4 separate regions of the Mus musculus genome follow, and regions 1, 2 and 3 are each reported to be linked to region 4. Evidence: microRNA targets listed by miRTarBase, many of them from high-throughput screens and not tested one by one. Region 4 holds a microRNA gene; each other region holds the end of a gene's coding sequence.

Evidence for each region. Region 4 holds the annotated microRNA mmu-miR-290a-5p (ACUCAAACUAUGGGGGCACUUU, at 4,249-4,270, shown strand). A microRNA usually pairs through its seed, bases 2 to 8, with sites in the 3' UTR of a target mRNA and lowers its output. Matches are read on the target gene's strand: a 7mer-m8 pairs with bases 2 to 8, a 7mer-A1 pairs with bases 2 to 7 and ends in A, and an 8mer does both.
Region 1: the mRNA of Dusp3 is a reported target of mmu-miR-290a-5p. Seed matches in the 3' UTR shown: 7mer-m8 at 3,741-3,747 and 7mer-A1 at 4,491-4,497.
Region 2: the mRNA of Prpf4 is a reported target of mmu-miR-290a-5p. Seed matches in the 3' UTR shown: 7mer-A1 at 2,325-2,331, 7mer-m8 at 2,597-2,603 and 7mer-A1 at 3,278-3,284.
Region 3: the mRNA of Csf2rb is a reported target of mmu-miR-290a-5p. Seed matches in the 3' UTR shown: 7mer-m8 at 1,919-1,925.

The regions. Positions count from the first base shown.
Region 1 is chr11:101,969,411-101,977,093 of GRCm38, reverse strand. Dusp3 (dual specificity phosphatase 3 (vaccinia virus phosphatase VH1-related)) reads left to right here. Exons shown (of 3, transcript NM_028207.3): 3 at 2,155-5,951. The coding sequence ends at 2,360. Among named protein-coding and RNA genes, the nearest start is that of Sost, 6.2 kb to the right of the region's middle.
Region 2 is chr4:62,421,402-62,429,084 of GRCm38, forward strand. Prpf4 (pre-mRNA processing factor 4) reads left to right here. Exons shown (of 14, transcript NM_027297.3): 11 at 777-899; 12 at 1,014-1,121; 13 at 1,202-1,320; 14 at 1,817-5,589. The coding sequence ends at 2,010. It overlaps Rnf183 (ring finger protein 183), which reads right to left. Exons shown (of 3, transcript NM_001379625.1): 3 at 6,139-7,200. The coding sequence starts at 7,158. The coding sequence ends at 6,586. Among named protein-coding and RNA genes, the nearest start is that of Gm30589, 9.2 kb to the right of the region's middle.
Region 3 is chr15:78,347,636-78,355,318 of GRCm38, forward strand. Csf2rb (colony stimulating factor 2 receptor, beta, low-affinity (granulocyte-macrophage)) reads left to right here. Exons shown (of 14, transcript NM_007780.4): 14 at 437-3,366. The coding sequence ends at 1,550. Mir7676-2 (microRNA 7676-2) reads left to right here and starts at 964; the gene lies at 964-1,025.
Region 4 is chr7:3,214,391-3,222,073 of GRCm38, forward strand. It overlaps Mir290a (microRNA 290a), which reads left to right and starts at 4,236; the gene lies at 4,236-4,318. Mir290b (microRNA 290b) reads right to left here and starts at 4,305; the gene lies at 4,248-4,305. D7Ertd143e (DNA segment, Chr 7, ERATO Doi 143, expressed) reads left to right here and starts at 4,394. Exons shown (of 1, transcript NR_028425.1): 1 at 4,394-6,625. It overlaps Mir291a (microRNA 291a), which reads left to right and starts at 4,529; the gene lies at 4,529-4,610. It also overlaps Mir292, Mir292b, Mir291b, Nlrp12, Mir293 and Mir294, and 1 more gene. RefSeq lists a cis regulatory region at 1-1,212.

The DNA.
Region 1 (7,683 bases), not on the chromosome of region 4:
GTTTGCTGGGAACTGAACCCCGGTCCTATGCAAGAGCAGGAAGTGCAGTTATCTGCTGAGCCATCTCTCCAGTCCTGAAATCCATTCTCTTAAAATACACGTGGCAGAGACATGATGGGATTTACGTATGGATTTAATGTGGCGGTCATTAAGTTCCGGCACAGGCAAGCACCTGTAAAGCCATCACCACAACCGCAACAGTGAATGTGACCATCACCCCCATGTTCTTCATGTCCCCTGTCCCCTCCATCCTCCATTCTCAAGCACCTCTTGCTCTGCCTCTGTCGCTGGAGAACAGTGTGCATCTGCACACTCTTATGTCAGTGAAGTCACACAGCCTGCACCCCTTCCTGGTCTGAGTATTTGGGTTCTGACTCTGCTATCACACACTACTGTACTGCATTCTCTCGCTCTCTTTTTTTAAACATATTTTTATTTGTTTGTGTGTATGCACATGTGCCACATGTGTACAGATACTATGGAGGCCAGAAGAGGCCATGGCCGTCCCTGGAGCTGGAGTTACAGGCAGCGTGTGAGCTGCCTGGTGTGGGTGCTGGGAACCAAACTTGAATCTAAAGCAAGCACTTTTAACTGCTGAGGCAGCTCTCAGTACCCTTCTTCATTTCTCCGCCTGGGTTCCATTGTATGGACACATGTAGCTAGAATATCTTGCTTATCTAATTATGTACATTGTTTTGTGCTAAGAGAGAGTAATGCTCTATAGCCTGAGCTGGCCTCAACCTTGCCATCCTCCTGCCTCAGCCTCCTCCTCCTGAGTGCTAGGATGACAGGCGAGTGGTAACTTACATGGTTTCATGTTTTGTTCAAGACTGAAGGATAACATTCATACAGAGAAGGTCTGGGTCACAAAGTGTGCAGTTCACTGAATGGCACAACCCGTGATCAAGAAACAAAACTCAGGGGCTGGAGAGATGGCACTGACTGCTCTTCCAGAGGTCCGGAGTTCAATTCCCAGCAACCACATGGTGGCTCACAGCCATCTATAACGAGATCTGACGCCCTCTTCTGGTGTGTCTGAAGACAGCTACAGTGTACTCACATAAAATAAATAAATCTTTAAAACACACACACACACACAATTACCACCCCAGAAAGCCCACTCCATGTTCCCTCCCACGTCTCTGCCTACAGTACTCCCAGGTTACCACTGTTCAGGCTTCTAACAACCTGGTTTACTTGGGCCTCTTTTCTGCTCTGTGGAGCCACACATTTGTGTGCCTCATACACGTTCTTTCTAGTAAGTTGCATATTACTCTGCGTTTTTACATGTATTTATTTATTGTAGTTGTGTGTGCGTGTGGGCCCATGCATGGCACAGTGTGTGGGGATGTCAGAGTATTGTGAACAGGGGACAGTTCTTTTCTTCAATCATGTGGGTTCCAGAGGTTGAACTCAGGTCATCACGTGTGGCAGCAAATGCCTTTACCCACTGAGACATCTCCATATTCTTTTTTTTTCCCCTGAGGTGGGGGCTTGTTCCATAGCCCAAACTGGCTTTGCACTTGCAGTTCAAAGTGACTCCCTGTCTCCACCTCTTAGAGTATTGGAATTACGATGTGTACTACCACACCTGACTGGATCATTAATTCTTTGATGGGGGCGGGGAAGCGCACATGCTGCAGGTGAAGGGATGACTGGACTGGACATGAGCGTGGAAGCCAGAGAACAGCTTCAGTCTAATGCTCTCCCAACTGAGCTATTTCGGTTTGCCAGAGAACAACTTACAGAAAGTTCTCAGTGCCATGTGGATTCGGGGTTGGAGTTCAACTCATCAGCTTGACATTGGCTCCTCTACCCACTGAGCCTTCTCACTACTCTCTACCTAGATCATTAATTCTTTTTTAAAAAGACTTATTAGGGGGCTGGAGAGATGGCTCAGCCGTTAAGAGCACCGAATGCCCTTCCAGAGGTCCTGAGTTCAATTCCCAGCATGCCATTGCTGGGCAGTAGGGGGCGCAGGTGTTCAACGTGAGTAGCTGTTGCCAGTTTTCCGCGGTGGAGAACCTCTTGACACCCTGCTGTCCCTGGTCATTCTGGGTGGGTGCATGGTGATATGCTTGTTGTATGGAAGACTTTGACTGTTACAGTGAAGTTGGGCTTCCACAGTTACCACGTCTCCCCTGTTTCTTGCAGGCCGGGTGCTTGTCCATTGCCGCGAGGGCTACAGCCGCTCCCCAACGCTAGTTATCGCCTACCTCATGATGCGGCAGAAGATGGACGTCAAGTCTGCTCTGAGTACTGTGAGGCAGAATCGTGAGATCGGCCCCAACGATGGCTTCCTGGCCCAACTCTGCCAGCTCAATGACAGACTAGCCAAGGAGGGCAAGGTGAAACTCTAGGGTGCCCACAGCCTCTTTTGCAGAGGTCTGACTGGGAGGGCCCTGGCAGCCATGTTTAGGAAACACAGTATACCCACTCCCTGCACCACCAGACACGTGCCCACATCTGTCCCACTCTGGTCCTCGGGGGCCACTCCACCCTTAGGGAGCACATGAAGAAGCTCCCTAAGAAGTTCTGCTCCTTAGCCATCCTTTCCTGTAATTTATGTCTCTCCCTGAGGTGAGGTTCAGGTTTATGTCCCTGTCTGTGGCATAGATACATCTCAGTGACCCAGGGTGGGAGGGCTATCAGGGTGCATGGCCCGGGACACGGGCACTCTTCATGACCCCTCCCCCACCTGGGTTCTTCCTGTGTGGTCCAGAACCACGAGCCTGGTAAAGGAACTATGCAAACACAGGCCCTGACCTCCCCATGTCTGTTCCTGGTCCTCACAGCCCGACACGCCCTGCTGAGGCAGACGAATGACATTAAGTTCTGAAGCAGAGTGGAGATAGATTAGTGACTAGATTTCCAAAAAGAAGGAAAAAAAAGGCTGCATTTTAAAATTATTTCCTTAGAATTAAAGATACTACATAGGGGCCCTTGGGTAAGCAAATCCATTTTTCCCAGAGGCTATCTTGATTCTTTGGAATGTTTAAAGTGTGCCTTGCCAGAGAGCTTACGATCTATATCTGCTGCTTCAGAGCCTTCCCTGAGGATGGCTCTGTTCCTTTGCTTGTTAGAAGAGCGATGCCTTGGGCAGGGTTTCCCCCTTTTCAGAATACAGGGTGTAAAGTCCAGCCTATTACAAACAAACAAACAAACAAACAAACAAAGGACCTCCATTTGGAGAATTGCAAGGATTTTATCCTGAATTATAGTGTTGGTGAGTTCAAGTCATCACGCCAAGTGCTTGCCATCCTGGTTGCTATTCTAAGAATAATTAGGAGGAGGAACCTAGCCAATTGCAGCTCATGTCCGTGGGTGTGTGCACGGGTGCATATGTTGGAAGGGGTGCCTGTCCCCTTGGGGACAGAAGGAAAATGAAAGGCCCCTCTGCTCACCCTGGCCATTTACGGGAGGCTCTGCTGGTTCCACGGTGTCTGTGCAGGATCCTGAAACTGACTCGCTGGACAGAAACGAGACTTGGCGGCACCATGAGAATGGAGAGAGAGAGAGCAAAGAAAGAAACAGCCTTTAAAAGAACTTTCTAAGGGTGGTTTTTGAACCTCGCTGGACCTTGTATGTGTGCACATTTGCCAGAGATTGAACATAATCCTCTTGGGACTTCACGTTCTCATTATTTGTATGTCTCCGGGGTCACGCAGAGCCGTCAGCCACCACCCCAGCACCCGGCACATAGGCGTCTCATAAAAGCCCATTTTATGAGAACCAGAGCTGTTTGAGTACCCCGTGTATAGAGAGAGTTGTTGTCGTGGGGCACCCGGATCCCAGCAGCCTGGTTGCCTGCCTGTAGGATGTCTTACAGGAGTTTGCAGAGAAACCTTCCTTGGAGGGAAAGAAATATCAGGGATTTTTGTTGAATATTTCAAATTCAGCTTTAAGTGTAAGACTCAGCAGTGTTCATGGTTAAGGTAAGGAACATGCCTTTTCCAGAGCTGCTGCAAGAGGCAGGAGAAGCAGACCTGTCTTAGGATGTCACTCCCAGGGTAAAGACCTCTGATCACAGCAGGAGCAGAGCTGTGCAGCCTGGATGGTCATTGTCCCCTATTCTGTGTGACCACAGCAACCCTGGTCACATAGGGCTGGTCATCCTTTTTTTTTTTTTTTTTTTTTTTTTTTGGCCCAGAATGAAGTGACCATAGCCAAGTTGTGTACCTCAGTCTTTAGTTTCCAAGCGGCTCTCTTGCTCAATACAATGTGCATTTCAAAATAACACTGTAGAGTTGACAGAACTGGTTCATGTGTTATGAGAGAGGAAAAGAGAGGAAAGAACAAAACAAAACAAAACACCACAAACCAAAAACATCTGGGCTAGCCAGGCATGATTGCAATGTCTACAGGCCCAGTTCATGAGAGGCAGAGACAGGAAGACCGCCGAAAGGTCAAGGATAGCATGGTCTACGTATCGAGACTCCAGCCAGGGCTACGGTCCCAAGATCCTAGGTTTTGGATTTTGGGCTTTGGTTTTTGAGACAGGGTTTCTCTGTGTAGCCCTGGCTGTCCTGGAACTCGCTCTGTAGACCAGGCTGGCCTCAAACTTAGAGATCTGCCTGACTCTGCCTTTGAGGGCTGGGACGAATGCCACCACTGCCCAACTAAGATTCCATTAAAAAAAAAAAAAGTTCAAGATAATTAAGAGTTGCCAGCTCGTTAAAGCTAAGTAGAAGCAGTCTCAGGCCTGCTGCTTGAGGCTGTTCTTGGCTTGGACCTGAAATCTGCCCCCAACAGTGTCCAAGTGCACATGACTTTGAGCCATCTCCAGAGAAGGAAGTGAAAATTGTGGCTCCCCAGTCGATTGGGACACAGTCTCTCTTTGTCTAGGTAACACATGGTGACACATAGCATTGAACTCTCCACTCTGAGGGTGGGTTTCCCTCCCCCTGCCTCTTCTGGGTTGGTCACCCCATAGGACAGCCACAGGACAGTCACTAGCACCTACTGGAAACCTCTTTGTGGGAACATGAAGAAAGAGCCTTTGGGAGATTCCTGGCTTTCCATTAGGGCTGAAAGTACAACGGTTCTTGGTTGGCTTTGCCTCGTGTTTATAAAACTAGCTACTATTCTTCAGGTAAAATACCGATGTTGTGGAAAAGCCAACCCCGTGGCTGCCCGTGAGTAGGGGGTGGGGTTGGGAATCCTGGATAGTGTTCTATCCATGGAAAGTGGTGGAATAGGAATTAAGGGTGTTCCCCCCCCCCCCAACCTCTTCCTCAGACCCAGCCACTTTCTATGACTTATAAACATCCAGGTAAAAATTACAAACATAAAAATGGTTTCTCTTCTCAATCTTCTAAAGTCTGCCTGCCTTTTCCAGGGGTAGGTCTGTTTCTTTGCTGTTCTATTGTCTTGAGAGCACAGACTAACACTTACCAAATGAGGGAACTCTTGGCCCATACTAAGGCTCTTCTGGGCTCCAGCACTCTTAAGTTATTTTAAGAATTCTCACTTGGCCTTTAGCACACCCGCCACCCCCAAGTGGGTGTGGATAATGCCATGGCCAGCAGGGGGCACTGTTGAGGCGGGTGCCTTTCCACCTTAAGTTGCTTATAGTATTTAAGATGCTAAATGTTTTAATCAAGAGAAGCACTGATCTTATAATACGAGGATAAGAGATTTTCTCACAGGAAATTGTCTTTTTCATAATTCTTTTACAGGCTTTGTCCTGATCGTAGCATAGAGAGAATAGCTGGATATTTAACTTGTATTCCATTTTCCTCTGCCAGCGTTAGGTTAACTCCGTAAAAAGTGATTCAGTGGACCGAAGAGGCTCAGAGGGCAGGGGATGGTGGGGTGAGGCAGAGCACTGTCACCTGCCAGGCATGGGAGGTCCTGCCATCCGGGAGGAAAAGGAAAGTTTAGCCTCTAGTCTACCACCAGTGTTAACGCACTCTAAAGTTGTAACCAAAATAAATGTCTTACATTACAAAGACGTCTGTTTTGTGTTTCCTTTTGTGTGTTTGGGCTTTTTATGTGTGCTTTATAACTGCTGTGGTGGTGCTGTTGTTAGTTTTGAGGTAGGATCTCAGGCTGGCCTTGAACTTCTGATCGCCTGCCCCTGCCCCTGCCCCTGCCCCTGTCCCTGCCTCCAAGTGCTAGGACTAAAAGCACATGCCACCACACCAGTACAGCATTTTTCTAACATTTAAAAATAATCACCTAGGGGCTGGAGAGAGGGTTCCAGCTAAGAGTGCACACTGCTCTTGGGTAGGACCTGAGTTTAGTTCCCAGAACCTATACTGGGTGGCTCCAGGTCCAGAGGATCCAGGACCTCTGGCCTCCATGGGCATCTGCTCTTAGCACATACCCACATACAGATACACACATAAAAATAAAATGAAGCCTTTAAAAACCTCCTAAAACCTAGCCCTTGGAGGTACGACTCTGGAAAGCTGGCATACTGTGTAAGTCCATCTCATGGTGTTCTGGCTAACGTAAGACTTACAGAGACAGAAAAGAACTCAGGGTGTGCTGGGGGTTGGGATGGAGGAAGAGGGATGAGTAGGGGGAGCACGGGGAACTTGGGCAGTGAAAATTCTTTGCAGGACACTAGAGGAGGATAAATACCAGTCATTGCACCCACTACTGGACAACTCCAGGGAATTATGCTGGGTGAAAAGAGAAGGCCCCAGGTATTGGCTGCATTGGCTGCATTTGCGTAACATTTTTTTAAATTGAAAAGAAAAAGATGTAAATCAAGGTTAGATGAGTGGTTGCTGTGAGCTGAGAGCTGGGGTGAGTGAGACATGTGGACAACTCCATCAAAAAGCGACAGAAAGAACGGGCTGTGGTGACAGCTACCTCTAATCTCCACCTCCGGGAGGTGATCAAGGTTAGCCCTCAGCTAGCCTGTGGTGCATGAGACCCTGTTTCAAAAACTTTAATAAAGAAATAATGAAAAAAGACATCAGGGCAGATCCTTGGGGCCAAAGGCGGACAGGCGAGTCTCGTGGTAAGGTCGTGTAGAAGCGGATGCATGAGCACGTGCCGCAGGCATCATGAGAGAGCCCTAGGTAAGTAAGGATGGATGTGAGTGTGTCGGCGTCGGCGCACTGCACGTCCTGGCTGTGGTGCTGGACTGGCATCTTTGGTGAGCTGTGGAGGGGAAATGGGTAGGGAGATCATAAAATCCCTCCGAATTATTTCAAGAACTGTCTATTACAATTATCTCAAAATATTAAAAAAAAAGAAGAATTAAAAAACAAAAAACCTATCCAGGTGTGGTGGTGTGCACCTATAGCCACGGGCACTTGGAAAGCTGGAGCAAGAGGATGGCGAGTTTGAAGGTATCTGGGGCTGTACAGCAAGACCGTCGTCCCCAAACCAAACCAAACAGCAAACCCATTATGTCACACAAGAGTGTTTATAGTGAGCGGCCTCGCTGAGAGCATGGGGTGGGGGTGGGGGTGGGGGACAGAAATATCTAAACTGCAGTCAATAGGGATCCACTGAGACCCTGGGGCTTGACTGCAGCTTAACCTTGGGAAATGATAAGGGTTTTGTGTTGAGTAAAAGCATCGATTACTGACTTAACCTCAAATGAAGAAAAAGAAAAAAAGAAAACAACAAAAGCCAAACCAAGGGGCTGGTGAGATGGCTCAGTGGGTAAGAGCACCCGACTGCTCTTCCGAAGGTCCAGAGTTCAAATCCCAGCAACCACAT
Region 2 (7,683 bases), not on the chromosome of region 4:
GGGAAAGACAGTGCCATCTTTGCTGGGCTGAACCCAGGGCCCTACACACACCAGGCAAGGCCTCCCTACTATTGAGCCCCAACCCCTACCCCCCAGAATTCTTTTTTTAAAAAACAGCCACTAAAGTACAGAATGTTCATGGTCTCCCAGCTGTCGCCTAAAACAAAGTCTTGGTGGTGAAGCATTGTTCATTGTTCATGTCAGAAAGGCCTTTCATTCATTTGTTCGTTCTTTCTTTCTTACCTTTGTTTTTTGGTTTTTGGGTTTTTGTTTTTGTTTTTTTAAGATTTGTTTATTTAAGCCAGGTAGTGGTGGTGCACGCCTTTAATCCCAGCACTTGGGAGGCAGAGACAGGCGGGTTTCTGAGTTCGAGGCCAGCCTTGTCTACAGAGTGAGTTCTAGGATAGCAAGGGATACATAGAGAAACCCTGTCTCGAGGGGGGGGGGGGGAATTTATTTTTTTTTTTTAGTATACAGTGTTCTACGTGCATATATGCTGCACACCAGAAGAGGGCACCAGATTCATTATAGATGGTTTGAGCCACAGTGTGGTGGTTGCTGGGAATCGTGCTCAGGACTTCTGGAAGAGCGGTCACTGCTCAGCCATCTCCGCAGCCTGGCATTTCTTGTTAGTATGGTTGAATGAAGAGTTTCGGGAGCCTGAGCTGAACTATGATTGTTTATAGTACCTTGTCATAGTAGACACTTCCGTCTGCTGGTTGATCGTTGGTGTAATTATTGGTAAGTTGGCAAATTTATTCTTATTTATTTTTAAGTTATGACCGTTCATGGCGCTTATGGGATTTAGAGGCTCAAGAGGAGATCCTGCACCAGGAAGGCCACAGCATGGGTGTGTATGACATTGCCTTCCATCAAGATGGCTCTTTGGCTGGCACTGGGTAAGACTTTCTCCACAAAGCAAGACCAGGCAGCTTAGTGGTCTCACCTCTTAGGCAACCCCACTTCCTCGTCAGACTGGATTCCGTGTATTCATACAGATGTTATCTCCTCAGGGGACTGGATGCATTTGGCCGGGTTTGGGACCTACGCACAGGACGCTGCATTATGTTCCTGGAAGGCCACCTGAAGGAAATCTATGGGATAAATTTCAGCCCCAATGGGTAAAGCAAACTAAGTGGATGGGAAGGGTCCTGGCCAGACAATAATCTCTGTTCCTAACTATGATACGTCTGATCCTCAGCTACCACATTGCCACTGGCAGTGGTGACAACACCTGCAAAGTGTGGGACCTTCGGCAGCGACGCTGTGTCTACACCATCCCCGCCCATCAGAACTTAGTGACCGGTGTCAAATTTGAGCGTAAGCTTTTCTCTTGTTCTCAGCCTTAACACCAGACACCCTTTGCTTCATGGAATACATCCTGGCCATTAGACTAACTTAGACATGGAACCTTGTTAAGCAAATTTCAGCTTCCTTCCCTCTGCCATACCTATAGACAGCGCTATGGCAAAGCATGCCTTCTTGAAGCAAAGAGTTCTGCGAAGGCTTCATTTCATTTTGTCCTCCATGAATGTCAGGCACTAACTAGATGCTTGCTGTTACTGAACAGACCATCCACCTGGGAAAAGGCAGCCACACAGCCTTCATCTGTTACATGGTTATCCTCAGTCTGCTCATGACCGTCTCTTATCTTGGAGGCCCCTAGGAATGCAGAATGAATGAGTTCAGTTTATCTGAAATCAGAAATAACCTTTCTTTCAAAATAATGTGTTTTGTCGGGTCTTTGTCTTTTTTCTTTTTCTTAAGCTCTTTCTGAATACTTGAGTTCTTCATGTTTGCTTTATGTCTTCTGCAGCTATCCATGGGGACTTCTTGCTCACAGGTGCCTATGACAATACAGCCAAGATCTGGACCCACCCAGGCTGGTCCCCACTGAAGACCCTGGCTGGTCATGAGGGCAAAGTGATGGGCCTGGACATTTCTTCTGATGGGCAGCTCATAGCCACGTGCTCCTATGACAGAACCTTCAAGCTCTGGATGGCAGAGTAGGCCAGACCACGGAAGGACTCAGAACTTGTGTTCTCACGACGGAGCCATTTCCTCAAAGGAAAAGAATTGTATTGTGTTCTATCATGTTTCCTGCCAAATACCATGTGTTGGATTGGATTTTCACATCAGCCCACTCTTGAGGAAGCCTGTCTTTAGGTGGTAGCAAGCCCTTCGTGGTTAGAACAAAATTCTCATCTCAGGTTCTGCCAAAAACTGTAGATGTTGTATAGACTCAACACTTTTCAGTGCCCTGCCTCCTCCCTCACACTCAGGATTGTGACCGTTCTTTCATTTTTGTTTTTTTTATTTGGCATTTTGAGACAGAATCTGTAAGTATATCCCTGACTGTCCCGGAAGCCTTACATTGTAAGTAATCCTCCTGTCCTGCCCTTCGAGTGATGGCATTATGGAAATGTGCTGCTGTGCCTGGCAGTTGTATTTTTAGTGCTTGAACTTGGCTCTCTATAACATGGTATGTGCTTGGGACTACGGGTGATTCAGCAAGCAAGATAGCTGGACTGGCTAGGCAGTGGTGGCGCATGCCTTTAATCCCAGCTTGGGAGGCAGAGGCGGGCAGATCTCTTGAGTTTGAGGCCAGCCTGGTCTACAGAGCAAGTTCAAGGACAGCCTTTTCTCTACCCTGTCTCGAGGAAAAAAGAAAAAAAAGATAGCTGGACTGTATTTGAAATCTCCCCAGTTATGAGGACATGTCACCACCATTTGTGGCGAGCTCCTTTCCTGACGCCGAGAATGAAACCAGAGCCATAGACTGCAGCTGTGTGATAGCTCCACAGTAAAAAAGATTTTCCCTTTCTGTGGTGTTCACGAAGGATGTTCACTGCAGCTGGGACTCAGAACTGCACACTTGGCCTTGTTAGAGCCAAGTTAGAGCCTCTTCCTTTTGGCTTTGAAGTTTGATATCCTTCATGACAAAACAATCTGGCCATTGTATCCAGATTCAAAGGGGTTTTAAAAACAAACATGATGTCTGTGTTGTACAGCCTCCTTCCTGTTGGTTATTTAAAGGGTGTACCTTATGTATTAAAGAACACTTCATGTCAAAGGAACTGGAAAAAATCCTAATTTATGTTTGGGTGTTACCAAACATAAACTTTTATATATAAATACACACACACATACATACATACACACACACACACACTTGCTGAGAGTAAAATCTTACTATAAAAACTCTTTGAAAGGATTATTTTCTATTTCAGCATTTTGTGAACCTAACCATTTGTCCAAAGAGATCCCCTTCTTTAGTTTTGAGATCTAATGTAATTCTAGGCCTGAATTGTTCCACTTTCTGTTACTTTATTCAGATGTTTATTGTGGTGTTTTTTGAGGGGGGAGGAAGTAGCAGGTTTTTGTGACAAAGGGTCTTACTGTGTAGCTCAGATTGGCCTCAGAGTCAAAATCCTCCTGCCTCTGCATCTCAAGTCCTGTAAGTTGTAGGTGTAAGCCATCAGTCACATCCAGACACTAACAGCTTCTTTACGTAGAGTTGTTGGCCCAGGAGAACACCAGGTTTTCAGGTGTGTCTGGGTTCCATAGTTCTTCCTCATCAGTCAGTGATTGGCTTCACCTTGCTGCACTCCAGAACTGCACGGTAAATCCGCACAGAGCAGTAATTTCAGAGAAGGTTGTGTATAGTGTGAAATTCCCTCTCCAGAATTGGAAGTTTACACACCATCGGCTTCCTGTTCTGCCCTGCTCTTCTGTAGATCATGAATATATGGTATATAACAAAACATTTGGGGAGGGGCTGGTTTCTCTGTGAAGCCCAGGCTGTCCTAGAACTCACTGTAGACCAGGCTGGCCTCAAACTCAGAGATCCGCTTGCCTCTGCCTTCTAAGTTAAAAGTATGCTCACCACACCCAGCTAAACATGTGATTCCAGTCATAACCAAGTATATTCCGTATATGTGGCTGTTACGCCATTCAGGCCTTCCCTTCACTTGGCACTTAACCACCCTTAACCTGTTCTATGAAATTACCATTTTCTTGACATCTTACAGTGTTTGTAAAATGATGAGACTGGCATAGAGCCCTGCATTCGGGATCTGGCACATTTGAGTTCTCTGGTCTGAACCTTACTAGGAACTTAATTTTCGGTTGATCCAAGAGAGCATTCGAGTTGGAAATGTTCCATGTAAGCCTTAGGCCGAGCAAGTGTCTGGGGAAGTAATCCATTTCTTCAACCACTGTAAGAAAATAGTGGATTCTGAATGGCAGAACCACTGTCATTTAACCCTACCTCAGTGGTGCATCAGGCACATTAAGAGAATTCATTCTTTTAAGGTTGCTGGGTGGACTTGAATAACTGCTGAATTACCCAGCTGTAAGCAGTGGAACTATGTGAACCAGTATGAAATGATTGCACAGTGCTTTATGGAGAACGTTGGCCATTGGCAAGACCAGGACCGGGCATGTGGCCTGATTGCTGACTGGTCAGCCTTTTTACCTCTCTGCCTGTGGATGCCATGGACAAATCACTGACTTTATGAACAGTGGACTTTTCCCACTCCTGTGTCTTGATTTGGAGCTTAGCAGAGTTGAATCTTAGGATAGGTGATACTTCTTAGGCACCGCTGCAGGCCTCCGTCCCTAATCTAAGCACACCCAGTGGAAGTGCTGCCAATGTAAGTGGGTGAGACTGCTTGCTAGGATTTGATTCTGAAATATCCCGGCACTGTTGTGCCATTAAACCCTCAGGACATAGGACCTGGCTGGTACAAATAAGTCACCAACACAGGGTTGTCGGAAGTTTTTAGCCCAGCTTCTATCTCCAGCTGCCCTCTGCTTCCTGGTATGCTCTGGTGTGGTGAGCATCTGCTACAGGCTCCTCCCTGTGCTCTGTACCCTCTGAAACCTTGAGCCCCAATCAACCTCCCCTCCAGCTGTCTCTAACAGGTATTGTGGTGACTAACACTGCCCCAAGGTTAGAACTAACAAATGCTAAGTAAGAGCTAAGATCCTAACCCTCTGTCTCAAAAAAAAAAAAAGGAAGGAAGAAGAAAAGAAAATCTGTTCAGTATAACAAACTACTAGTTTTTGGTACTCCCCGGCATCCTGAGAATGTAAGTTGTATTCTGAAGGAAAGGGACTCCAAGGTTAACCCTAGGCTGAGCCTCGGCTCCAGCATCTGCTTCCTTGGGCCAGGGTCTCTGGAGGAGGAGAAATTCCTTCTTGGACTTTTTCCATTTCTTCTCTGCCCCTGTCCCTCTTAGTTCATAGAATATAGAGAGATGTTGCCAGACGTGCTTGCTACAAAGGTAAGCAAAAATGTGTAGAGAAGTGAAGTTGATAGGAAATGTGAGGTTCACTATCAGTGCAATTACCTGATGAGGTCAATGGAGACAGGTGATAGTCTCAGGAGGAAATGTGGGTACCTTTACAGTTTTCTAGTGGAGAAATCTCCACATCGGAGCTTAAAACTGTCTGGTTTTACTAAATCAAAATATAATTTATATATTTTATAATATCTTACTCCTTTGTGCCTCTAAGGAAGTTATAAATAAATAATACTTCTGTGGAAATATTCTTTAGAGCAAATAAAACTGACTCAAGTTCTGATCTCTGACAGCTTAGTCTATAAATTTAAAAAAAAAAAAACCTCTTTTTCTAATTGTGTTTTAGACACTTTGAGATGGCTTCAAAGTTGGAAGCCAGGACATGTCGGAACCAAAGAGGCAACATTTATGTGGCAGAGTGTCAAGCAGCTGCTAGCTGGGCTTAATTTTAGGTTCTGTCCTATGAAGAGAAACCCAAGGTCACTTCCTGCACTCCACACTGCTCAAGCCTGAGAAGGCAGCTGAATCACCTCTGCCCAGGTAGTCTGCCTTAGCTTATAAGGGCAGAACTATGGAACAAGGCTCCATCTGTCCTGCACGCACTGCCCGGGAGGAATAGAGACGGTTACCTCAACCCCAAGTTCTTCCCAGTCACCCTGGCTTCCTTCACCTTTACATTCATCTCTTCACTCCATCTGAAGATGTCACCCTGTACACCCTCCCTTCCCCTGAGGGTGTTCACCTACCACCTCTGGACCATTCTGTCTTTTCTTCCTTCTCAGTCTGCCCAGTAAAGGTTGTGTAAGGAAAAAAAAAAAAAAAAATCAATGACTTAAAGAATGCAGGCTAGCTTTACTGGAAACTGTGGCAAGAATCAGGAAAGGCTGAAAGGGGAGACAAGCACGTGGGCCCACAGAATTGAAACACTTTCCAGAATTATCAGCAACACACAAACAGCTCAACACTGCTCCAGTGAAAGAGGCTCCGAGCTCTCTCAACTAGTTGGATGTCTGGGTGGTGCTGTCCAGCCCTTTTGGCACAACTTGCTATGTAGCCATAGAACTGCTTCTCTACCCTCCATGACCCCGTAGTTTATGATCAGGTCCCTGGTCCTTTAGCTCTTCTCTTCCTGTTGGGCCGTCTCTGTTCTCCAAGATAGACCTAGCAGACCCCTGGGCTGTAAAATGAGCAAGAACGGTAACACCAAAGGATTCGCAATAGTCCTCGGTCCAGCAACCACTGAGAAAGGCTCTGTTCCTTGTCCTGGAACACAGAGTGCTCACCCCATGCCCCAAAAGAACTGCTTAGTCCAAAAGATGGAGAAGATGAGCAGCAGGGTGACACTGAGGATGACAGCCATCAGATAGGCGAAGATCCGGAAGTGAGGGTTGCGGACACACTCTCTGAGAGAGTAGTGACTGGGGATGGGCACCGGCCTGGTGTCAGGGGCTGTGTCCTGAGGGAGCCCAGTCTGGCTCCCAGGCTCAGCGCCAAGGTCCAGGGTGTAGACCCGAGGCTGACGCAGGAAGTAGCGGCTCTTGGGCTGGTCCTTGAGACAGAGCTGGTGGCCCTCTAGGATGACATGGTGGGGCTCTAGGCGGAGCAGGGTCAGCATGGCAGTGTCTGTAGGCAAGTCAGTGACTGGCTGCCCTGAAGCCAGCACGGTGGGCTGACGACAGAGTGGGCAGAGCAAGCGGCGCCTGGCTGGGGTTACCAGGCTGAGGTGGGCCAGGCATTCCACACAGAAGGAGTGACAGCAGTCTAGCACTTTGGGGGTGTGGAATGTGTTGTTGAAAGGGTTCCAGCAGACAGGGCACTCGGCTCTGAGCTCCTGGCCCTGTGGTTCGCTCATCCTCTGATCACATACAGGGAGCCGGAACCTCCAGAGGATGCCCTGTTAGGAGGGAGAAAGAGAAAGTATACCCATGGAGTGCTGCTGTCCCTGGACTTGGTCTGCAGCTCTCGGCTCTGAGAGGATAAAAGCTATCCACCCACATGTCACAGGTGGAGGAATGGATGTCTGAATGCATTTTGTCCAAGAGCATCCAGGCCTGGGTCACAGACTCAAGTCTGATGCTACACAGCTGCCCACCGCCCAGGGTGGAGGACTGAGCGACCCAATGGGTTACCTTTCTAGCAGCACCGGAATGAGAAGGCAGCGGAAGGAACAGCGCTGGGGCTTTGGAGATGCTAAAGAACAGGTGCTTCCTTCCCTGCAAACTCAAGTCTCTGACTAGAGCAGAGATGGGCTCTGTCCCTCCTCTGGAGACAAATGCCAGCCCCCTCTCTGCTCTTTCCTTTGGGGCCAGTGGCCAGCTTTTCACACTCAACTGACTAGTCCTGGTGAACAGTTCTTGAGAAGACTCCCCTACTCAGC
Region 3 (7,683 bases), not on the chromosome of region 4:
CCGGTTGGCGTGAAACAGACAAGGGACCAGAGGCAGCATCCCAGAGCAGGAAGCCTCTCCTTGCCAAGTGACCTATGTAAGCCCTGCACTGCAATGGCCTCATGGGTGACTGAGAGTGCACACTGTGGGACTTCAGCCTGCTAAGCCCACATGTCAGGGAGTCAGCAGCCCCATATGGGCAGGTGTGAACCCGGCCCTGAAGGTTCACACTTGCTGCAAGGAGCAGAAGAGAGCAAACATTAGGATGGGGGTGTGAACTGAGCCCTGAGCACGTGACACTTTGGGACACTGGACACACACCATGTCATTCACAGGACCTCATGCCTCGGTGCTTACTGTGAGGCCCAGAGGGGATTCAGGCCTTCCTAGAGCTCACCTGCTCTGGCTATACACTAAGTGCCTAGGTTCAACATCTCTGCCCCTATTGTCCCGACAGGGAGTCATATGCACATTTGGAAGACAACAACGTGTCACCTCTCACTATAGAGGACCCTAATATAATTCGAGTTCCACCATCCGGGCCTGATACAACCCCAGCTGCCTCATCCGAATCCACAGAGCAACTTCCCAATGTTCAAGTAGAGGGACCAACTCCTAACAGACCTAGGAAGCAATTACCCAGCTTTGACTTCAATGGGCCCTACCTGGGGCCTCCCCAATCCCACTCTCTGCCTGATCTCCCAGACCAGCTGGGTTCCCCCCAGGTGGGTGGGAGCCTGAAGCCAGCACTGCCAGGCTCCTTGGAGTACATGTGTCTGCCCCCTGGAGGTCAAGCGCAACTGGTTCCATTGTCCCAGGTGATGGGGCAGGGCCAGGCTATGGATGTGCAGTGTGGGTCCAGCCTGGAGACCTCAGGGAGCCCTTCTGTGGAGCCAAAGGAGAACCCTCCAGTTGAGCTGAGCATGGAGGAACAGGAGGCACGGGACAACCCAGTGACTCTGCCCATAAGCTCTGGGGGCCCTGAGGGCAGTATGATGGCCTCTGATTATGTCACTCCTGGAGATCCGGTGCTCACTCTGCCCACAGGGCCCCTGTCTACCTCTCTGGGCCCCTCTCTAGGGTTGCCCTCAGCCCAAAGCCCCAGTCTCTGTCTTAAGCTGCCCAGGGTCCCCTCTGGAAGCCCAGCTCTAGGGCCACCAGGGTTTGAGGACTATGTGGAGCTGCCTCCAAGTGTGAGCCAGGCTGCCAAGTCCCCTCCAGGCCATCCTGCTCCTCCTGTGGCAAGCAGCCCCACAGTGATCCCAGGAGAGCCCAGGGAGGAAGTGGGCCCAGCATCCCCACATCCCGAAGGCCTCCTTGTTCTTCAGCAGGTTGGGGACTACTGCTTCCTCCCTGGCCTGGGACCTGGCTCCCTCTCACCACACAGTAAGCCACCCTCTCCAAGTCTGTGTTCTGAGACTGAGGACCTAGTCCAGGACTTGTCTGTCAAAAAGTTTCCCTATCAGCCCATGCCCCAGGCGCCAGCCATTCAGTTTTTCAAGTCCCTAAAGCATCAGGACTACCTGTCCCTGCCCCCTTGGGACAATAGCCAGTCTGGGAAGGTGTGCTGAGTCTGTCTCCTCCCAATCTCACCAGCAGCCTGGCACCGCAGCCTGTGGTCCTCAGCCTGAGCATCACCACAGAAGCCTCTCTGAGTTCACACTCCTCCTTGCTCCCAGCCCTGACATGGCAATACCCCACCTGTGCTTTTCTCTTCCCCCTCTGTCCCTCTTCCCCTCCCTCCATGCACCCCCATCTCTCTCTCTGCAGTTTTCTGCCTTCTATGGGAACTTCCTTCCTATTCCTCTGACCTGTTGGAGTGGGGATGAGGCCTGTGAGGGTATGGGCTGTTTAGGGTTTACAAACCTGTGAGGCCGGACGGTGGTGGCGCATTCCCTTAATCCCAGCACTCTGGAGGCAGAGGCAGGCAGATTTCTGAGTTTGAGTCCAGCCTGGTCTACAAAGTGAGTTCCAGGACAGCCAGGACTATACAGAGAACCCCTGTCTCGAGAAACCAAAAAGAAAAAAAAAAAAGAACTGCTGAGGTCGGCTTGTCCACCACAGGCATTGGTAATACAGCACATTTCTGGCTCTGTGTGAAAGGTGGGAGTCTCAGGTGAGCCCCTTGGGAGGTCAGACTGTACAATTGGGCAGGCTCTTGTCGCTACAAGAATAGACATGGTCCTCTATGGTTGTCTGAAACTCCTGGGGAGACCTGGGGAACCTTGTAGAGGGTACTTGGTACCCTCCTTATATACAGAAATCACTGATGTGCACAAAGCTGGACACAGCTATGGCCAGGCTGGAGGGATGAGAAGCAATGGGAAGGCTGTGTGTCTAGAACTCATGGTCTCAACTGCAGACAAGCTTAGTTGTGGATCCTGGACAGCACACCCAGATACTAAGTCTAGACAGCTGAGCTGTTCGTTAGTTCTCCCTCCAGAGCAAAGCCTGGATACCTGTGCTCCCACCGGCCTCAGATGAGGGTCTGCTGTGAGACTGTGGCCCTTGGCCATCACCACCCTCTTGACAATCCATGCACAATGCCATTACCTCATTCTGTTCTCACTGGAGTTGTTTGTTCATGGTCACGTTTGCACATGGCCTTTGTGTGTGTCTCGAGCATTGGCTTTTTGGGTGGTAGCGAGGAAGTAGACTTGGAAGTTGAGCTCATGAACAGTTTTGTGCTTCAGACTGTCTTTTTTGGATGAGACTGAATAGCTCTTCCCACATGGCCTCTTGTGGGCCACACGTGTCTCCCCTGAGTGTCCTAATTTTGTGCAGGAGGCACACCAGCTCTGTCAGCCATTGCGTGTCTGCATTGCTATGAGATGGGTTGCCGAGCCACACCTGTCTTTGGGTCCCTGTTTGCAGGGGTCTTTGCTGTAAGTGCACACGTGCCTTTGTTTATGTTCTTTCTGGTTCCTTCTGTGTCTAAAGCCTTGAGTGAGAGACTTGGAGTTTTCTAGAACACATGATCTCTCTACAGAGTTCAGTCTTGATGTGTTCTATGGACCTGGAGTCAATGGACATTGTATCATTTCTTCACCTATTTGTGCTCTGTCAGGCACTCCATGATCCACCAAGTCATGAACTGGATCTGGTCTGTCCTATCCCCTGGCCTCACTCACATGATGGCAGACATAGAATGTGGCAGATCAAATGTCCCTTGGTCTCTGTTCATTGCAGCAAAGAAAACCACTAACATCTTGAGTGTGTTGCAGTGGCAATGTTCAACATCAGCCTGTCAATACTTTCCAAAGTGACCACTCTAGAGAAACAAACAGGAGTGGCCTCCATGTTAAGATGTGAATGCCAAAGTGCCTTGCATAAGAGGAAATATTGTAATAAACATGTTTACATACAATAAAACAGCAAAACAAGGCAGTGTGTGTGTGTGTTTGTGTGTGTATGTGTGTGTGTGTGTGTGTGTGTGTGTGTGTGTTTATGTGTGTGTTGGAAGGTTGGGGATGGGGACAGTTCCAACCCATGGGTGCCTTGTCAAGTAACTGGGTTCCATAGACAGGGCACTTGATACGCAAGACCCTTGCACCCTCTCAGAGGCGAATAGGATGGGACATGGGGTGGGAGTGGGGACTTGTGGAGGAGGAACCAGAGGGAGAACAGCAATCAGAAGGTAAAGTGCACAAATAAATTAACTAATGGAAAAATAGAAATATAAATATTATTGAAGGCTTCAAAAGGAAATCATAATCACTTAGTTTCCTACAGAAAAGGCAAAGATCTACATTGGAAGAAAGACTAATGGTTCTAACACAACACCACTCTTCATGCAGAAGGATGAAATTCAATTCAGACCTTCCACTACATACAAAATAAATTCTAATTATATCAATTCTGAGGGCTGATGAACGCCACCCTCTCTGTGTCTTATTTGGGATCATGATGACTTGGGGAGACACAAATATTACACCATCCTTCGAGGTTAAGAACACCTAGCATGGTGTGTGTGTCATTGTGGAATGCACCACTGGGGAAGAGCTGGTGAGAACGTTATGAAATTTGAGTAACTGAAGCAGAAGAGGCTCAGACAGTCTTGAAGAATTTAATTCTTACCAAAACCATTTGCACACCACTGGCATTGCTTACGGAAACTTCAGACTTGGGAACAGGATAACAGATGTGCAAGGAAAAGTGAAACTGACTTTGATTTGGCCAAGCTATTGAACAATGGGGCAAAGGGGAAGGGCTTCTGTAGCAATACAAGACATTCTGGCTCCAGAACTCCTTGGGCAGTTTCAGTGTGGATCTGCTGCTCAGTGCTAGCATTGATGAACACTGTTTTCTGGCTGAAAGCCTTGGTGTCCTGGCTCTAAAAGGATCTCACCTAATTTGGGGTTGGGGGGAGGTTCATAGTTGAGATTCACCTTCTCTGTTGCAAGAATGTCAAACTCCCAGGCTCTAGGAGTGGTGACCTCACATGGTCCCAGAAGACACACTGATCTCCGGCAGAGTTGCCCTCCCAGTGTGGCAGGACAATGACTTCAGGAGCACAAAGGAACCTGATAAGGCCTAGGAATCAGCCAAGGGAGTGCTAGTGCTCAGACTGATAAAAAGCCTAGGCTCATTTGGGCAAGCATATTTTTAAGAGGCAGAAGGACTGGCCCATCACCTCCCAGAGTTTCCCGATTAGATTTAGAGGAAATAACATCACAACTCTAACACTCAACTCGAGAGTTCTAAATCAAGCAAGGGCTAAAGCCAGGATGCAGTTCCTTTAGAGGGTTGCTGGGATTCTCACAGAGCTCACGCTGGGTCACATGGGAGGGATCTGATGTTGGGTCATGTGGTCCCACCAATGCCAAAGACTCTGAAATGTCTCTGTGAGGAGAACCCTGGAGATGGGCAGGATCATTTCTCATGCCTTCCCCTTCCTCTTCACATGGGTGATTGTTGAATTTCAGGGAAAGGAAAAAGGAGACAAACAGAAAAAACTTAGGCACAGACTCATGCCTGATTAAAGTGCTGGAACAAGCAACCATTGTGTGCCCAGCCCTAAGCAGAGCAGGGATATCTACCCTCCAAGGCTAAGGAAACTCCATGGAAGAGGGAAGGAGAGTGTGTGCAAGGGCCGGGTGATGGGAGTAACTGCTGTGAAGCACTGACTTCTTGATATAACATGGCCATTACACTCATATTACACTCCGGTTATAAGGATAAGGCGTCCCTTGTCACGTTTCTATAAATCTTTAACTCTCAGCAATTGCCAAGAGGAACAATGCTATGTTCTTCTGCAGTGATGTTTTCATGTCCCCACAAAGAAATTCCACTCACACTCACATAAGCAGCCCTATTTAAACACGGTTCCTCAAACCCACAAAGCAAAGATTTGAAAACAGGAGGGCTACTCACCAGGAAGAACTGGAGGTTTAGCAGGTATTGGAAAGGTAATGAGAGACAATGGGGGGGGGGGCGGGGGACACAACCAAACTGTATCTTGTACATGTATGAAAGAATAATGAAGACATATAGAATTGATTGTTGTTACAGTAGACACGAGAGTGCAGAGATGCCTTCAGGGAACCTTGACTGGAATTGGCACAGAGCAGGACACGCAGCATGCTACATCTGTGGTTCCTAAGACAATAGTGTCCATGGTTGGAGATTTAGTCTTTTATCGTGTGGACTCCTACCTTCCTGTTATACACACTTACAGATAGAGTCAGGCCTTCCCATTCCAGGCTTACTATTGATTTCCTCCATTTCCAATGCTGCATCCACAGTTGTTTTGTAACAGAAGAAATAACCTATGTAAAAGTACAAAGCAAAGAAAATATGTCTATAGTTTACATTTTATTTTGGGTACTGTAATCTCCAAGGATAAACACATCCTTGCCATGGTGTCTCAGCGGTGAGCAGGGCTCCTGCTTTGCTAAAAGCTGACTTTCATCCTTTGCTCATTGTCAGGACCAAGAGGAGAAGATCATGGACCGTGGCCTTTGAACCTCTTCCCTAAGCCATGGGTGGAGACATGATCTGGGACTCTACCCTTTCTGCCCATGGATGCTTGGGCACTAAGAACAGCTTCTCAGGGACTGGGAGGGCTGGAGAGATGGCTCAGAGGTTAGGAGCACTTACTGCTCTTCCAAAGGTTCTGAGTTCAACTCCCAGCAACTACATGGTGGTTCACAACCATCTGTAGTGGGATCTGACGCCCTCTTCTGGTGTGTTTGGAGACAGCAACAGTGTACTCATAAATAAAATAATTCTTTAAAAAAAAAAAAGAAAAGAACAGCTTCTCTCAAAGTCTGACTGTTGCACTGTGTCTGCAACCTGAAAGACAGACAGAAAGCTGGCTGTCGGGAGTGTTCCTCCTATTCACCGAGAAGAGTACCAAATATCTAAAAGGTACACAATCCATGTGGTTTATGCTTAATCCCTAACCTCTCTGGGAGTCCGGCAAGTTGGTGTATCTAAGTAGAACGCACTCCTGGGACAAGCCAACAGTAAACTCTGGCATCCTGTTTTGTTATCTATGTTTTGCCCAAGCGAACATTTCACACATTCATGACAATGCATTACCAGAGAAAGACAGTCTATCCTGTGTGACTCTGTAAGAGAAGTCCCATGTGGGCTCATACCTCCTTGCCTCAGAAGCCCCCCTCCCCACTCATTCCTCTGTATTAGTCAATACTACTGCAGGTGTCAACTGTGCTGAGACCTGTATGTGGGGCTATAAATCGCAAGATGAAGCCCCCCAGCCTGGGAACCCCCTGGTGTCTCAGCACCTTCAGGAGCTTGGTCTTCTTCCAGAACATTCCATCTCTTGCTGTTCACCTCCTTGGCCTTATTTCATGCCACAGGACTTGGCAGCACGCCACACAGGGACTCCTCCTGTGGGAGAAATCACAGGGCCATCAGTTCAATTTGATGGAATTTGATACCAGGTTCTCTGTGTACAAGGCCTTGCTAGATTAATTGGTCCCTTTCAATAAGGCCATACTGAACATTTGTCAGTTTGTAATGAGGGGCTTGCCTGGCCTTATTTGTTTACAGATTTCGTTTTCAGATTATAAATGATATTTCTATTGTTCTGTGTGACTACATCATTGAGTGGTTCAGAAAGAGTTCAGTAGCATTGAAGTAAGCAAGAGAAGTGGTTATCCTAATCAGATTTTCCTATTCATTCCTTCCTTATTTAAATGTGTATATATGTTTGTTTATGGGTGTACACCAGCCACGGTTCACATGTGGAGGTCAGAAGACAACTTGGAGGAGCCACTTCCATCCTCCCAACAAGTGTGATCCAGAGACTGAACTCACAGCATCGGGCTTCGTGGCAGGTGTCTACACCTGCTCAGCCTTTTGAGTACCCACCTGATTAAGTCTCTGTACAAAATCTCCTTATTCTGATACTTTAGTAATCAGTTCAGAATATATTGAGCAACTTCTGGATTCACTAATTTCTTTTCTCTTCTCTTCTCTTCTCTTCTCTTCTCTTCTCTTCTCTTCTCTTCTTTTCTTTTCTTTTCAGATTTCTTTATTTTATGTATGTGAGGACACTGTTGCTGTCTCCAGAAACGCCAGAAGAGGGCACCAGATGGTTGTGAGCTACCATGTGGTTGCTAGGGATTGAACTCAGGACCTCTGGAGTGCAGTTGATGCTCTTAACCTCTGAGCCATCTCTCCAGCCCTGGATTCACTAATTTCATAAACAAAAACAATAAAAATTCTAACAAACAA
Region 4 (7,683 bases):
ATAATAAGAAGAAAAAGAAAAGCCAGCAGTGTGTGTTAGGAAAGAGACAGCAGGTGATTTTTCTGTAGTAGACAAGTTTGAGGCCAAGCAGCTCAGCCTGGGATTATGAGGTCATGGCATGAGTTTGAAGCCAATGAGCTCAGCCCTGTGACTATGATTCTGCCAGCCTCCGTGCCATTCAGACTCCAGGTAACGAAGGAAGTCTAACTAGTTTGCAGGTTAACAGTCCCTTTGGCTGGGGAGAATGAAATACATCTCCCTTCGGATTTGAGCCTGGGAGGACTTGGGAGCAGGTACCTCGCCTGGTGCCTCACTTCCTAGGTGCAGTACAAACCTCAAGATCTCTGCTGGGGTCCCTGAAGCTCAGCATGAGAGGAAAGGAAGGAAGCCCAAGGTTGAAGGCAGGGCTGATAAAAGCAATGTTTTTGCTAATTTTCATATATCCCCAGCTGTCTTTTTTTTTTTTTTTTCCCGAAACAGGGTTTCTCCGTGTAGCCCTGGCTGTCCTGGAACTCACTCTGTAGACCAGGCTGGCCTCGATCTGAAATCCACCTGTCTCTGCCTTCTAAGTGCTGGGATCAAAGGTGTGCGCCACCACACCGGGCTAAAACAGCTGTTTCTTAGTGTCATCATAGAAAGGTTTTTGTCAGAACCTTGGAAGGCAGCTGACAATGATAAAGAGGAGAAGGGGAGCCAGAGTGGCACCCCACCTTTGCCCCTCCACTTCTGAGCTCCCTGCTAGGCCTAAGGGTCAAAGGTAAACTCTAAGGAGGCCTTATGGAGGACTTAAGAGATGCTTCTACATTTTTAACCCTAGGTGCTTTCAAAAGTGTTCTTTATGGAGCCCTTGAGCTGTATTAATGTATAAACAGGTATACTGCCAAACTCAAAGACCTGAAGGCAATCTCTGGACCCCAAGAGGTAAGACAGAACTCAGTGCTACAAGCTACTGTCTAACACCTATATGCTTCCATTTCACCTCTGCCCCTCCCTGCAACATACACCAAAAATAAAACTTTTTTTTTTTTTTTTTTTTTTTTTAGGCAGGGTTTCTCTGTATAGCCCTGGCTGTCCTGGAACTCAAATCCGCCTGCCTCTGCCTCCTGAGTGCTGGGATTAAAGGCGTGTGCCACCATGTCCAACAAAACATAATTTTAAAACGCTCACTGTGGGCCAGCTTGGTACAAGCCCATACTCGAGAAAGCAGAGAGAGATGCGTGGATTTCTGTGACTTGGAGGCCAGCCTGGTCTATATAGTGAGTTCCAGGCCTCTCTTGCCTAGCAAGATCCTGTCACAAGAAATAAGCAAGTAAGGAAGTGAGTGAGTGAATAAATAAATAAATAAATAAATAAATAATAAATAAAATTCTTAGGGTTAAGTTAGTGGGGCACTTTGCTTGGTTATGTTCAACACAGTATGAACAGGGAACAGAGTTGCCAAGGCCATCTTGGGAAAGTTGAAGAGAAGCTAAATCAGTAGCTCATCCCAGGCTAGGCTCCTGGCATCCTAGCCTAGAAAGATCCAGTCAGAAAGAAAGAAAGAAAGAGAGAAAGAGAGAGAGAGAGAGAGAGAGAGAGAGAGAGAGAGAGAGAGAGAGAGAGAGAAAGGAAGAAAGAAAGAAAGGAAGGAAGAGAGAGAGAAAGAAAGAAAGAAAGGAAGGAAGGAAGGAAGGAAGGAAGAGAGAGAGAGAGAGAAAGAGAGAGAGAGAGAAAGAAAGAAAGAAAGAAAGAAAGAAAGAAAGAAAGAAAGAAAGAAAGAAAGAAAGAATTATCCTTCTTGTTGCTGCTGTTTGAGGCACAGTTTCACTTGTAGCTGCTTGGCCTACCCATTGCTGGAATTAAAAGAATGTGCCATTATACTTGACCAAACCCATATCTCTATCTGCTTCCCCAAGCCTAAGACCTAGCAAATTGCTGGTGAGGCTTGTTTGTTCAATTAACAAGACATCTAAAGTATATTAAATATGCCTGGAATTAATGACTGAACTGGGCATACTGGTATATGCCTATTCCAGCCCTTGGAAGATTGGAGACAAAGACTTATGAGTCCCCACTAACCAAAGAACACACATGGGCTGGACCTAGGCCTCTTTGCTCACATGTAGCCGAGGTGTAGCTTGACCTTCATGTGAGTCCTAAACAGCTGGAGCAGAGGCTATCCCAAAAGCAGTTGCCTGTCCCGGAGTTATGATGGTCAAACTGGGCTGCTTTGTCTGGCCTCAGTGGGAGAGGAAGCACCTAGCCCCACAGACTGGAAGTGCTGGGGGGGGGGGGGCGACTCAGAGGAGAAGACTGGGGTTGGGGGAAGGATTGTAGAAGGAGGTGACCTGGAGGGGGGCAGTGAGTAGGATGTAGGGTGAATACATTTTTAAAAATTAAATTAATTTTTTAAAAATGTTCCATTACACACACACACACACACACACACACACACACACACACACACAAGGTGTAGACTTAGGAGTCCTAAATTATTCTTGGCTATTTAATGAGCTTATGGCCAGCTTGGCGTACTTGAGCCTTGTCTCCAAAAAACAAACAAACAAACAAACAAACCCTAAACTCCAAGTCTGCAATATGCCTCTGTAGCTTTAGCCCTGCCGCCTGGAGACCTAATTTCAATCCATGGAGCTATTTAAAGATATTTAATAAATAATAATAACAACAACAATAATAATAACAAAAGAAAAACAGCCGGGCATGGTGGCACACGCCTTTAATCCCAGCATTTGGGAGGCAGAGGCAGGCGGATTTCTGAGTTCAAGGCCAGCCTGGTCTACAGAGTGAGTTCCAGGACAGCCAGGGCTACACAGAGAAACCCTGTCTTGAACCCCCTCCCCCCCAAAAAAAACATATTTAAGCATAGGAGAAAACTAACTCTATCATATTGTTCTTGGACCTTCATATTCAGTGTGGGAAAGAAAGAAAGAAAGAAAGAAAGAAAGAAAGAAAGAAAGAAAGAAAGAAAGAAAGAAAGAAAGAAAGAAAGAAAGAAAGAAAGAAAGGTAAAAAAGAGGGAGGATTTGAAACTCTGGATTTAAAAAAAATTCAAACGAAAGAATAAACTGAACCTCCCACATTCTTCCTTTATTTATTTTTATTATTATCTTAATACTGAATGTAGCCCTGCCTAGTCCCGTGCCTAGTCACCATAGTAGACCAAGCTGGCCTTGAACTAACAAAGATCCTCCAGCCTCGGCCTAGAAAACTATAGGATTAAAGGCGCTGCTTCTAGAAACAAACAAAGAAATCTGTTTCCTCTGGGGGGTGGGGGGGAGAAGAAACCAGTGAAGGTCACTCTGCCGCAGGGAAACTCAGCTCAGAGGAAGCAGGGTGGTAGAGTAAGGATTCTCCGGGGTGGGGGAGGGGTATCAGAGCCTCCCAGTCCAGGGGGCCAATGAGCCTTCAGACTATATAAGAACCTAGAGCCTCCCCCACGCCTCTCAGAGACTTCTACTCCACATCGGGAATGCTGGTCTCTGCGGTCTTCAGGGATACCTCCGGCGTGCTGCTTCTCACATAGGCAAAGGTAATATTTTTAGTTTCAGATTTTTTATTTCCTTCAGTTCTGTGGTTTTAATCTACCTGGTTTAGAGAGGCGAAAGTAGATCCAGGATTTCCAGAAGAGAGATCTTCCTGCTTCAACTTTGGAGATGACTAGCCAGGCTGGCCTTTAACTCTCATTTCTGCCTGCCTCTCTGCCTCCAGATTAAAGGTCATCACGGCCATCTTCATTCTACTTTTTAAAAACTAGAGCCCCTTTTTTAAAAGGCAGGCTAGCCGCGAACTCAGCCTTCCTCGCTCGCCCCCACGGTTTGGCTGGGTTTACTAATCCCGAGGCAGAGGCAGGCCCATCTGAGGTTGGTCTGGTCTCCAAAGAAGACATTTAGAACTAATGTGTGTGGAAAAAGAGTTGGGCTTTTTTTTCTGACTTGGTCTACATAATTTCAAGGGAGGAACGAGCCTATGTGGGGAAAGTGAGTAGTCTGGGCGCGAGTGAAGTTTGGGGACCAGAAACCAAAGCTAGGAGTTACTGAGGGCAGGTCTAGGGAGTCTATGCAGTACATTTCATTAACTACGTGGTTTCATTGTAGAAATTTTGAGTTTCACTATACCTTGAGTTAGACCGATGTACTAACTCTTCCTTGATTTCATCCAGGTTTCCTTCAGGTTGGAGTGAATTTTAAGTTCTCCACGTTCTTTCCTCCTGGTAAATGTTTTAACGTCTGGACCGCCTCATCTTGCGGTACTCAAACTATGGGGGCACTTTTTTTTTTCTTTAAAAAGTGCCGCCTAGTTTTAAGCCCCGCCGGTTGAGAAAACGGCTATCTGGCACATTTACCAGCCCTGGTGCCACGTGTTCCGGGTTAACTGCAGCGTGGTGAGTACGGATTCGAAGAAAGGAATGAGACTGAGTATAGCGAAAGGCTAGGGATGGGCATCCTGCCCAGTAGACGGTAACTGAGGTGGTCGTTGTAGGGTACCTGGGGGCTCCATGTGCGTCCTGTCGCTGCTTGGAGCTGTTACACCTATGTAGCGGCCATCAAAGTGGAGGCCCTCTCTTGAGCCTGAATGAGAAAGTGCTTCCACTTTGTGTGCCACTGCATGGGGAAAACATCATAGCTTTGCATCTGACGCATCGGTTTACAGGAGCGGACAACCTGTGTGGGGGTTTAGGCTTGGAGTTTAATGGGTCCTATCCTAAAGAGGGCGGTTCAGTTGGGTGCCACGAGACGCGGATGGATGTAAGGCAGTCGTGAGTCCAGGTGCATTGTAGATTGTTCTTAAGCTTGACCTCCAGCCTGTGATACTCAAACTGGGGGCTCTTTTGGATTTTCATCGGAAGAAAAGTGCCGCCAGGTTTTGAGTGTCACCGGTTGAGAACTCAAAACGGCTAAGAACTAAGAATTAAGTTTTAGTGGGTCATGTTTTCACTGGGGTTGCATTTCTGGGCAGGTGGGTGTCACATGTGGGTTTGAGTCCGAACACTTGGGCGCATGCGGTACTAAAGGCTTTCCGCGTTCATAAAGGAGCCGGGATCCCACATGGGCCTCGCTCGGAGGAGCTGAGCCTCAGGTCTTGGAAGTTGGAACATACAGTGTCGATCAAAGTGGAGGCCCTCTCCGCGGCTTGGCGGGAAAGTGCATCCATTTTGTTTGTCTCTGTGTGTACATGGCGTCTGAAAAGCCGGCTGCAGCTGCAACCTGGAATCGCTTACCTGCTTGAAACAGGTATGTGTGCTGGAGGTGAATTCGTTGCCACTGGCTACTCGAGCTGCAAGGCTGGAGGTGAGGAGGAAGCAGGGCAGGGTGGAAGGAGGCACTCCAGGTCCAGGGGTGGTGAGTCTAAGCCTCAGGTCTGAGTAAAGAAAGGCCTACTTTTAAATCTCACGTGGCCGCCATATTAAGTCCTCTTTCAATTTTTTTCCTTTTTCTCCAAACAGGGTTTCTCTGTAGCCCTGGCTGTCCTGGAGCTAACTCACTTGTAGACCAGCCTGGCCTCAGCTCCATCCACCTGGGATTAAAAGATCCTATATATCTTGCTTGACTACTGTAGTTGCTATATCTTGCTTGACTACTGTAGTTGGACTGATGGTTGTGAGTCTTGATATGGTTGGATTGAATTTTTAGGACCTGCTGGCTGTAGCTGACTTTAACCTGGCTCCTAGCACAAACAAGCTTGGTGGACAGCCGGGTAGATAATACCCATAATACCTTTTGGCTTTACAATAGCCCAGGCTCATGAGGGCTGGGATTACAGGTGTTACATTGTGTGCCCTAAGCATAATCTTCATGGATTCTCTTTGTTTTTCAGGTGTTCCAGTTGAGTTGAATGTAATCCTGCCTAGCCTGGGGTACTTACTTGCCTTCAACCTGCCTGGCTGGCTGGTCTGGCTAAGAACTGACTATAAAGTTTCAGGTTTATTACCACAGCAGGTCCCTGTGGAAATGCTTCAATCTGTGGTACTCAAACTGTGTGACATTTTGTTCTTTGTAAGAAGTGCCGCAGAGTTTGTAGTGTTGCCGATTGAGAAACTGCAGTTGGCCTAAGTGTTGCATCATTTGGGTGTCATCTGTGGGTATGATTCAGTCTGTAATGGGGCAAAAGTAAAAGCTGAGGTGCACGGAACCTCACGGGAAGTGACCCAGATTTGACAGGTACTGTATTACATATAGCTGCATTTATCCTTTTGGCATTGAATAATCCTTAATCTTCAGTTCAGTTGTAGGCATGTTTGGATCTAGCGAAATTCCATATAGCCATACTCAAAATGGAGGCCCTATCTAAGCTTTTAAGTGGAAAGTGCTTCCCTTTTGTGTGTTGCCATGTGGAGAAAGCATCGGAACTTCAATCAACCAGAGACTCCTTGCTTGCTCATCTTGGTGAGACTCAAATGTGGGGCACACTTCTGGACTGTACATAGAAAGTGCTACTACTTTTGAGTCTCTCCTGTGGGCACCATTCACAGGTCGGCTGCTTTCATGCATGTGTAGTGTGTATCTGAATCCAGATGAAGGTTTCCTGGAACTGGGACATGTGGGTGCTATTGAATGAACCAAGGTGCTATGGGAGCAACCAGTGCCCTCAGCCTCCAAACATGAATAATAAAGTCTTGTTCTCTTGATTTTGCTGCTTTCTCAGTTTTTGTTTTAAAACACCCGCCATGGTTCCTAGGGATAAAAAAAGCTTGCAAGCATGCAAGCACCCTTTTAATCACTGGGGTTGAGACTAAAGGTAATCCTGGGCTATACAGAAAAACCCTGTCTGAAAAAATCCCCAAAAGTTAAACCAACACATAGCTGGAAGTGTTTTCAACAGTAATAGGGCACCTTTTGGGAGACACCCCTGTTTGCCTCTTGGGATTTAGGCATGCCACCCCTCCAATGGTTTTAAGGAAGAATTACCCTGTACTAGCTTAAAGGTGCCTTTAAGCATAGCCACATTTAAGCCCACATTTGTTTATATACTGTGAGTCTTTTCCATTTCTATACATCATGGCCAGTTCCTTTTAGTGGAGTGTCTGGATGGTTACAAGCTAACCTGAAATGGGGTGGTGCCAGGTTTTAAAAAGTAGTGGGTTGGGGAGCAGGGTGTGGGGGAGGATATAGGGGACTTCTGGATAGCGTTTGAATTTAATATAATAAAGGTAGATCTCTGGGTACTGTACTGGAAGTGGGCGGAGTTATCCCATTATAAGTGGTGGAGCTACCACGTGGTTGCTGGGAATGATGTCTGCCAGGCCTCACTAGTGTCAGGTCGTGAGTCATGCACAGCCATGATTTCTGCATCCTTGGCCACCTTGCTCAGTTTTCTGGAGTGTTGAGATTCAATGCGAACACCACCACAGCTGGGCAAAATCTAATAACCCAGGATAGGATGGGAGCATTGGCTGTCAACTATACCAGGTGTGCAAATCTTGGGTTTTGAGGCCTCATTTGTAAGGTGCCTTATACCTTTAGCCCCAGCCCACTTTTTTTTCCCCCTGCTGTATAAAATTCAGGTGTGAGTACAATTTTTCTTTTTAAAGATTTATAAGTGTTCTGTAGCTATCTTCAGATTCACCCAAAGAAGGCATTGGATCCCATTACAGATGATTGCAAGCCACCATGTAGTTGCTGGGAATTGAACTCAGGACCTCTGACTTAACCACTCCAGCCCTTGAGTACAATTTTTGAAAAATTA